2 linked regions of the Drosophila melanogaster genome follow. The protein of the gene in region 1 purifies or fractionates together with the protein of each later gene. This does not show direct contact. Each region holds a gene or a part of one and is shown on either strand. Other genes may lie near its edges.

Region 1 (3,329 bases):
CCAATGCTGGCAAAAGCACCCTACTGAATGCACTGACACGGGCCAAGCCAAAGGTTGCTCCCTACGCCTTCACCACGCTGCGTCCGCACTTGGGAACCGTCCAGTACGATGATCATGTCCAGCTCACCATTGCCGATCTTCCCGGACTCGTGCCCGATGCTCATCGCAATAAGGGCTTGGGCATACAGTTCCTAAAGCACGCCGAGCGTTGCACCTTGTTGCTGTTCGTGTTAGATGCCAGTGCACCGGAGCCATGGACGCACTATGAGCAGCTAATGCACGAACTCCGCCAGTTTGGCGGACGTCTGGCGAGTCGCCCGCAATTGGTGGTGGCCAATAAGCTGGACGTGGAAGAGGGCCAAAACAACTTTGAGGAACTGCAACGTCGCCTGCAAAATCCCGTGCTCGGCATTAGTGCCAAAATGGGTCATAATCTTGGACAACTCCTGAACAGCATACGTAGAGGATACGACCGCCACAAGGACCAGCCCCAGGAATCCAGTTAGAGGCCTCTGTTTATGTTATGTTGATTTATTATTTATAAATTAAATTGTAATCTTATAAGCTAAGCAAGCGGGAATCATTGCCTACAAGCCCTCCTCGGATGTGGGCAGCCAAAAAGCCATGTTGGTGCACGCGGACGCCAGCATCATGTATTTTGGATTGAACTGAACGCATTGCACCGGTCCCGGATGGTCACCATTCAGTACGGACACCTTATTGCCAGTGTCGGCATTCCAGATGTGCACTCGTCCATCGGTGCTGCCTGAAAAGATGAACTGCGAGTCTGGGCTGAAGCTTGCCTCGATGGGAATGCCCTTGTTGTTTGGATAGCCCGTGAACGTTTGTAGCGGAGTGCCGTGGAAGGCATCTACGAGCCGGATGACCGATCCATTCGTGCTGATCAGAATTGTTTTGCCGTCACGGGAGAACTTAAGGCCAGTCCAGTCGCATTCCTTCTCCTGATTAAGTTTAAATGTGACGAAGGGGCCTTTGTCGAAAGAGCGAAGGTCGTACAATTTAATGCTTTCCGAGTTAACGCCAGCGGCGAAGATCAAGCCCTCGGGATCGTAGGCAGCAATGGGTCGTCCAGAGAGATGCATCAGTCCCTGGCAGTTGGGCGAGCGCAAGTCCCACAGGCGCAGCGTCTTGTCCAGCGAGCCGGAGAGAAAGGTGTCCTCCACCGGCGAAATGCACAGCGAGATAACCTTCTTGGTGTGGCCGGGGAAGTAGCGCAGATATTTGTTGTCGTGCAGGCTGAGATAGCGTATGGTGTCGTCCACCTTGGTGGAGCTATGGATGGCCGTGTTGTTGGCGTGCGTAAAGTGGATTAAATCCACTCCATACTTCTTCGAGTTCACCGTGCGCGACTGCGTCCCCTTTTCGCAGTCGTAGATCACGATCTGGTCATCCTCGCTGCAGGATATTAGATGTTCGCCGTTGGGCGCAAAATCGATGGCGTTGATCTTGTCCGTGTTCTCTCGGAAGATCTTGGCCACCTTAAAACTGCGCACCACCGAATCTATTAGTTTTATCTTCATTTTAGCCTGTCGAATTTCGTTTTGTTGTCAATATGCTCAATTGTTGCAAACAATGTTATCGGTGGCAGAGGTTGACGGGTCGATAGCTGTGTTATCGATATCGCAACTTTCGAACTGGTTCCGGAATGAATTGCAAGAGCGGAACCAGCAACCAGATTTAAATTATTTGAAAGTTCAAAAAATCCATTCAAAAAAAGTAATTAATAAAACTCATTTAAAACCCCAAATAGTGCAATAATAATGTATAAATACCCCAAAGTAATGCAAAGTTTTTTTCAACAACAAAATTTAAGTATATTTTTCTCGTAAATCAAAATGTGGTGTAAGGCGTCATAGAAACAACAATATTAATATAGCTACATTTCATAATGTACACAGTGCAATTGTAGATGGTCTTATTAATTCGTTTTCTCCGACGGGCAGTCACAGGTGATGCTGTGGGTATTTCCCAGCAGATCCTTGGGGTCAACGTAGACAGTGCCCTCCTTGCCTCGAGCAAAAGGTGTATGTCCGTTGGTTTGTAAGTAAAAGTCGCCATGAATTCTGAAAATCACAATTTCAAATGATGAAACTAAATTCTGCGCTATGCATATAAGGCAAGTAGAAACTTACGTCGTGGGACAATGATGACCCATCACCACGGGCGGGCAATTCTCTACTATTTTGTTCTGCTTGAAGTCCGACCATTTCTTGGCGGGCACAGCATCGAATCCAATGGGATATCGATCCGAAACGCTCTCGGCCCAGAACCACCAGCTCCTCCGATGACTGGACAGATCGTTGTCGCTGAGCATCTTGTAGTTTCGCTTGGGACAGCCAGGCTGCAGGCTGTATCCACCATTTGGCCAGAAATCCGCCGTGCCCGTGCTCGTCGGAGCTCCGTACAGCCAGGCGTCCGTGTGTATCACGTCGACGAACTCCGCATCATTGGCAGACAGGTGCGTGCCCGGATAGAAGAGCGGAAATGCGGGATCCAAAGCGGAAATTCTATAAAAGAAGATTGGAGATAAGTGAGACAAGAAAAGGATTCAATATAAACTTTATAAACTTTGCCGAACAACGATTCTAAAAAAAAACTTTTTGTATTACCATATGGTAATACAAAAGTGTTAAGCTTTGGACATTAAAATTATTAACTAAATATCGTATATTAAACATCGTATATCATGACGTCGGCATAGACTAAAATCGAACCGAGCATGAATAAATAATTTGAAATCAAACCTCTTTCATTTTACCTTTTTATCTTTCTGACACCCTTGGTGCGTTTAGTAATCTCTCGGCCGAGGAGTCCGGCCAGCTGGCCGCCCATCGAGTGTCCGACAATGTGGAACTTCTCAATGTCCAGGCCATGGTCGAACATTTTGAGCAGGACCTTGGCCAACTCTGGGCCCAGCTGTTTGAGGTTCGGGAAGGCATCGAACATGTAATTGCCATCGGCCAGTTCACCCCAGTCTAGGACGATAAGATTGGTATCCTTTCGCTCCAGATAGGCCTCGGCTATGACGTGAATGCTCTCCACATCCGGATCTTCCAAGTAGCCGTGCAAATAGAGCACGGTGTTCTTGCCCAAATCCAAGTGCTCGTCCTCCAGAAGACTCTGGAAATCGGTTAGGTCATAGATATCGCTATCTGCCACCGTGGGTCTGTGAATAAAAGATAATGCTATAGGTGAATACTTGAATATATTTAAGAAATTTGGATATTAGTGCAATAACATGGCTTTATGTATAATTTTTCTTCATATTTACTAATAATAATATTAGTTCTTACCCATAATATAGTATA
Region 2 (4,991 bases), on another chromosome or scaffold:
TTCAGCAGATCGGTCGCGATCTCTCCCGCGGTACTCTCGATCTTTAGATGAGTTATAATAATGTTCTCTTTTTTCTCTGGGCTGGTCTCGGCCTTTTTCATGAGATCTTTTACGGTCTCGAAACGACTCTCGCTCCCTAGAACGACAATAATCACGAGGACGTGAATCTGAATCTCTAGATCTTTCTCTTGTCATGATCAATATATCCCGAGAATCTTCCGGCGATATATCACTAGAACGGCGTCGATAAAAAGTACGGCGACGCCTTATTGAAGTTCCAACGTTTTCTCGCATTCCACGATCACGGTCATAACTTCGCTCTGACGAGTGTCGACTGCGCTCCTTAAAATGGCGATCTCTTTCTCTTTCCTTGTCGCGATTCCAGTTTCGATCCCTACTGCGGTTTGGAATTTCATGATTGGTTTGTGTGGTGTAGATATCCTTTATGTGTTCGCCGTTCTTTTCAGGATATCCGTGGATGAATTCGGTGTCCTCCAAAGCCGCCTGCTGAAATGTCCATTGCGGTGTTACTTTTGGACCTATTAATTGTTTTCCAGCGACTGAATTTGTAAGGCTCTCAAGAGATTTTTTTAATGTGGCACCAAAAGGATCGCAAAACACATCTAAGATCTACAATACATAGATACATTAGAACAAGACAAAAGCTGAAAAACTTCATCATACCTTTCCCATTACAGACTTTTGATTGTATTTTTCAACGAATTGTCTCGCTCCCTTTGTACTATCAAACACTATACGTGCAATGCCCAAGTGTTTGTTTGTGATGGGATGATGGTAAATATTTATTTCATCAGATGTTCCACATTTGTCCAGCATGCTAGCAAGAAATTGCTTGTCGATGTTATCATTTAGGTTCACTATTGTAACTTCGACTGCAGGTGGCTGGCCCACGTAGTCGCTATCGATGACAAACCTATGGGTACGGACCAGGTGTTTAGCTGAAATATTTTAATTTAAGCAATGGTTACCTCGGAATAAGAAGCATAAGTGGTTCAACAGCCCTGGCGCGTATGCGAATAAGTGGATTCCGAGGATCTCTAGGTGTTATTGTTGGATAGGACGGGTCTCCTGGCATTAAACCATCGTAACGATAGAGTCTGGTACCACATTTAACCAACTGTGGATCAGATAGCAGTTTAAAGTTGCGCGGCATTTTGGAGTTTGCCAGAGACGAATCATGGCTGTTGCTGGAATTGTTGACCAGGTTGATATTCCGAACGTCCTGCATCTGTGTCAATTATGAACAAACCTAAAACTCAGGAACTGTAAAAGCTATATATAACACAACAATTTTAAAGAAATTTATTGCTTCTTGAATATAAAATCTTACATACCTATTTTACTTATTAACAAAATAATAGAATATAAAAATATTTAGAAATATCACAAAAAATTTTCTGCGATGTTTTTATTTGAAAGGGATCAACAGCGAATATATAATATATAATTATATTAAAATCGTTCACGCTGCTTTTTTAATTAAAAAACAAATAATTAAATTACTTTTTTAATCATTATATTGGTTGGATGATAAAATTAACTCTCAAATATATGAAATATTGAATCACAATGCAAATAATACACAAAAACGAGGCTTTCGATTTCTAGGGGCGATAATTATGAAATCGATTTCGTAAATAATAACTAGTTCAGACTATGGCTAATTTGGGGAGTTGGGTAAATGTTGTTTCTATATTTCATAATACCGTAAAGAAAATTCTAGGCCAAGAAAAGTTAATAATCCGAATCATATATTACATTTAAAAAAAAATACGTATTACTTTCATGTAGTTGCGTTGCCTTTAGTTGCATTTAAGCGTTCTTAATCTATAACCCTATAATATAATATATATTATATATAATATAATATATTCTTAACTCTATAATATAATGGGCGAAACTGAACGGTAATTAAATACATACCCCACCAATTTTTATTAAGAATCAAATAAAAAGTTTGGTTGAAGTCAAATCTATTTTTGTTTTAACTTTTGTGAGTTCTGTGGACTTCCGAAATACTTCCATAAACATATAAGTTTTGTTTTCGCTTCGAAAATAAAATTAACAAGCAAGATTTTAATAATTTCAGTAAGAATTTCAATCTGAAACTGATTTTACAAAGTGCATTATTCTTATAATAACGGTTTTTATCAGTGACAAGGACACGGGCAGCGAAAATGGACTTTGGTCAGAAGATTTCGATTCCTTAAAACTGTTACCTGATGAATACGTAAACGGGATGGATATTTTCTTTAAAAAAGTTTTAATGCTGACTAATTGGTTCGAACGCTCTTTGTTTAAAAGTTTGAAAAGTGCTTATGTCTGCTGTCGACGGTAAAGGCGTGTGAAATGTTTGAACCTAGGTTGCTGTCGATCGTGAATAAGATTTATTTCGCCTAAGGAGTTCAAACGTTTAAGTGGTATTGATTTAAATAACTTTCACAGTAGGCTCTGGGCTTATGTTGATAACAGGGTTTGGTGTCTAGGTTATTTGCATCACTTATACATTATATAAGATTGAAATAAAAAAATTACGTTTTAATACACAGCTGTGTTTTTATTTGTTAGGGTTATATCAGTGAGTTGCCAAGTGTGAATCTGATTTTAAAAAATGAATTATTCTAATAACTACAGGGGATAGCGTCGTCAACTAGCCTTTTTGTTTTAAAGTTTTCGTTTAGATAAGAAAGCATAAACAAGACCACAGGTGTGCTCGATAAGTTGGTAGATTTTTGCGATTAGAAACAACACTTAACAAGATACACTTACAACAGTTCGGATATGAAATTATTTTAAAAAACAATATTTTAAATAGATCTTATGAAATATACACTTTCGTCTCCCTATATACACATATATTTTTTCGTGTTTTTGTAAGTAATTTGTTTACAGTGGGTTCAGTTACAGCATAGCAGCCCCAAATTTAAAAAAAACTAATTTACTTTAACTACAGATTTTTAAGTCTCCTCCGGACACTCTCCTAATGCGCTTCGTCACCACGTGGATTGCTGTCCACAGTTAATATTTTATATATTTCTATATGTTGGATAGACGCGTACCCAAAAAGTTTTAGTTGGTATACAAATTCTTAATGAATTCTTTCCCTTCCTAAATTCTGATACTTCATGTAATGTAAGATCGTCCTAAATAAGCCTTTTTTTTAAAAAAAAATGTATTAAAATATTAGGCAAAGCTGGCGAAACGCCATAACTTAATGCATTAATTCATTTGCTTCATATGTATATTGGTAGAAACTCTTGTGTGACTAGACTCTTTCTCTTTATTACTAACATATATCTAATTTAAGTATTTGTTGCTTCTGTTAATTTAAGGTTGAAACTCTTCACGGAGTTTTCGATGCGTTTTGAGCTGTTTTTACCTTTATCTTTCACTTTCCTAAACTAAATTAGCTTGTATGTATGAGTGCTACATTTTAAGACATTTTAACATTTTATAGGCATCGCGTTAGAGCTTAGCAAAGAACAAAAGAGAAGGCTATAGTCGAGTTCCCCGACTTTCAGATACCCGTTACTCAGCTGGTGTGAATTCGAACGCGATAAATATTGGGGAATTAAATGAGAAAAAATTTAAAAGCTGTTCAAAAGTGTCGGCGTGACCAGTTTGTGGCTTTAGAGCGTTAAAGTGGGTGTGGCAAATTTTTTTTTGGCAAATCGATAGAAATTTACAAAACTAATAAAAAATATCGGCTTGTGGGCGTTAGTAAAAAACATCAAAACATTTATGAAAGTGTGCTGCAGTTTTTTAAGGCTTGTTAGAGTGGGTGTGGCTAATAGACTTTGTCTTGTCGGTAGCAATGGACAAACAAAATAAAATGAAGCCTTTTGCAAGCCTTTTTCAAAAGTATGGATATAACAAATTTGTGCGAATTTGGTCAGTGTTTTAGAATAAACTTGTCCTGTGTGTACGTCAATACGTATGATGATTTCTTCGGTCAATAGTTTCCGGCTTGTTGAGTCAACGATGAGGGGGCTTATCGATTCACGATTTGGTGTTTAAATGGATTCCGGATCGCTCAATGATTACTCTTAAATGGACCAAAATTGAAAGGCATAGAAATAAGGCGCGGATCGTGATAAAATGCTTTAAAGTTTAGTCTTAGCCACACTGACGAGCTTGGCAGTTGCAACTAAACTTTTCACTTTTTGCCATGCCCACTCTAACGCCCACAAACCGCCCTACGCTGCCATACATTGATATTTTTCATATTTTTATTGTAAATTTCCATTGATTCACCCCAAAACTGTTTGCCACGCACACTCTGGACCAAAACTGTCACGTTCACAGTTTTGAAGAATGTTAATTCGGTTAAGAGCTTATTTGTTTATTTGTTTGTTACTGAAAATAAGTCGCGCCAACAGCTCCAATGACTCAAGTTCAAATGGGTTTGTACCATTGGATGACCGCGAAGTGCAGGAGCAGGAGCAGAAAAAGATAAAGCCGCCACCAATTTATATACGTGAGAAAACCTCAAGTGCGCTGGTTAACAAGCTAGCTGCAATTATCAGAGAAAACAGTTCCATGTTACACCACTTACTAAGGGCAACATACAAGAAACGAAAGTGCAGACTTAGGATAAGTCTAGCCACCGATCAGTGTCCAAGTACCTGAACGAAGCTGGGATAGTAATAGAGACATCAGTGACCTCATCCGAAATTATCGCGGCACTAAAGGAGAAGAACTATAACGTCAAAACGGTAATCAACATTCTCAACATTCTCACAGGAATAAAGAGCCGCAGCCACTCTTTAAATTCGAACTGGAGACATCGAGTCAGAAAAACAACAAAAATGAAGTACATCCTATATATAAGCTACAGTATTTACTGCCCCGAAGAATAACCACAGAATAGCGACACAAGCGCAGGCAACCTGTGCAGTGCACCAACTGCCAAGAATATGGCCACACCAAAGCGTACTGCACTCTAAAATCTATCTGCGTCGTTTGCAGCG

The links. Proteins that work in one complex are often made in the same cells at the same time.
Region 2: the proteins of Wdr82 (region 1) and Set1 purify together in Drosophila melanogaster (affinity purification with mass spectrometry, with the first as the bait; one large-scale study listed by BioGRID). This does not show direct contact.

What each region holds. Positions count from the first base shown.
Region 1 is NT_033779.5:8,372,739-8,376,067, reverse strand, and holds Wdr82 (WD repeat domain 82), read right to left. Parts: upstream 1,608-3,329; 5' UTR 1,542-1,607; coding exon 588-1,541; 3' UTR 519-587; downstream 1-518. Other genes in the region: CG13390 (uncharacterized protein), read left to right, coding at 1-506; CG17292 (uncharacterized protein), read right to left, coding at 1,940-2,084, 2,154-2,528, 2,780-3,187, 3,315-3,329. UniProt on the Drosophila melanogaster protein: Component of the SET1 complex that specifically di- and trimethylates 'Lys-4' of histone H3.
Region 2 is NT_037436.4:25,105,603-25,110,593, reverse strand, and holds the start of Set1 (SET domain containing 1), read right to left. Parts: upstream 3,001-4,991; 5' UTR 2,964-3,000; intron 1,598-2,963; exon of another isoform or gene 1,356-1,597; intron 1,317-1,355; exon of another isoform or gene 1,294-1,316; 5' UTR 1,250-1,293; coding exon 990-1,249; intron 935-989; coding exon 685-934; intron 631-684; coding exon 1-630. UniProt on the Drosophila melanogaster protein: Catalytic component of the COMPASS (Set1C) complex that specifically mono-, di- and trimethylates histone H3 to form H3K4me1/2/3. Binds RNAs which might negatively affect its histone methyltransferase activity.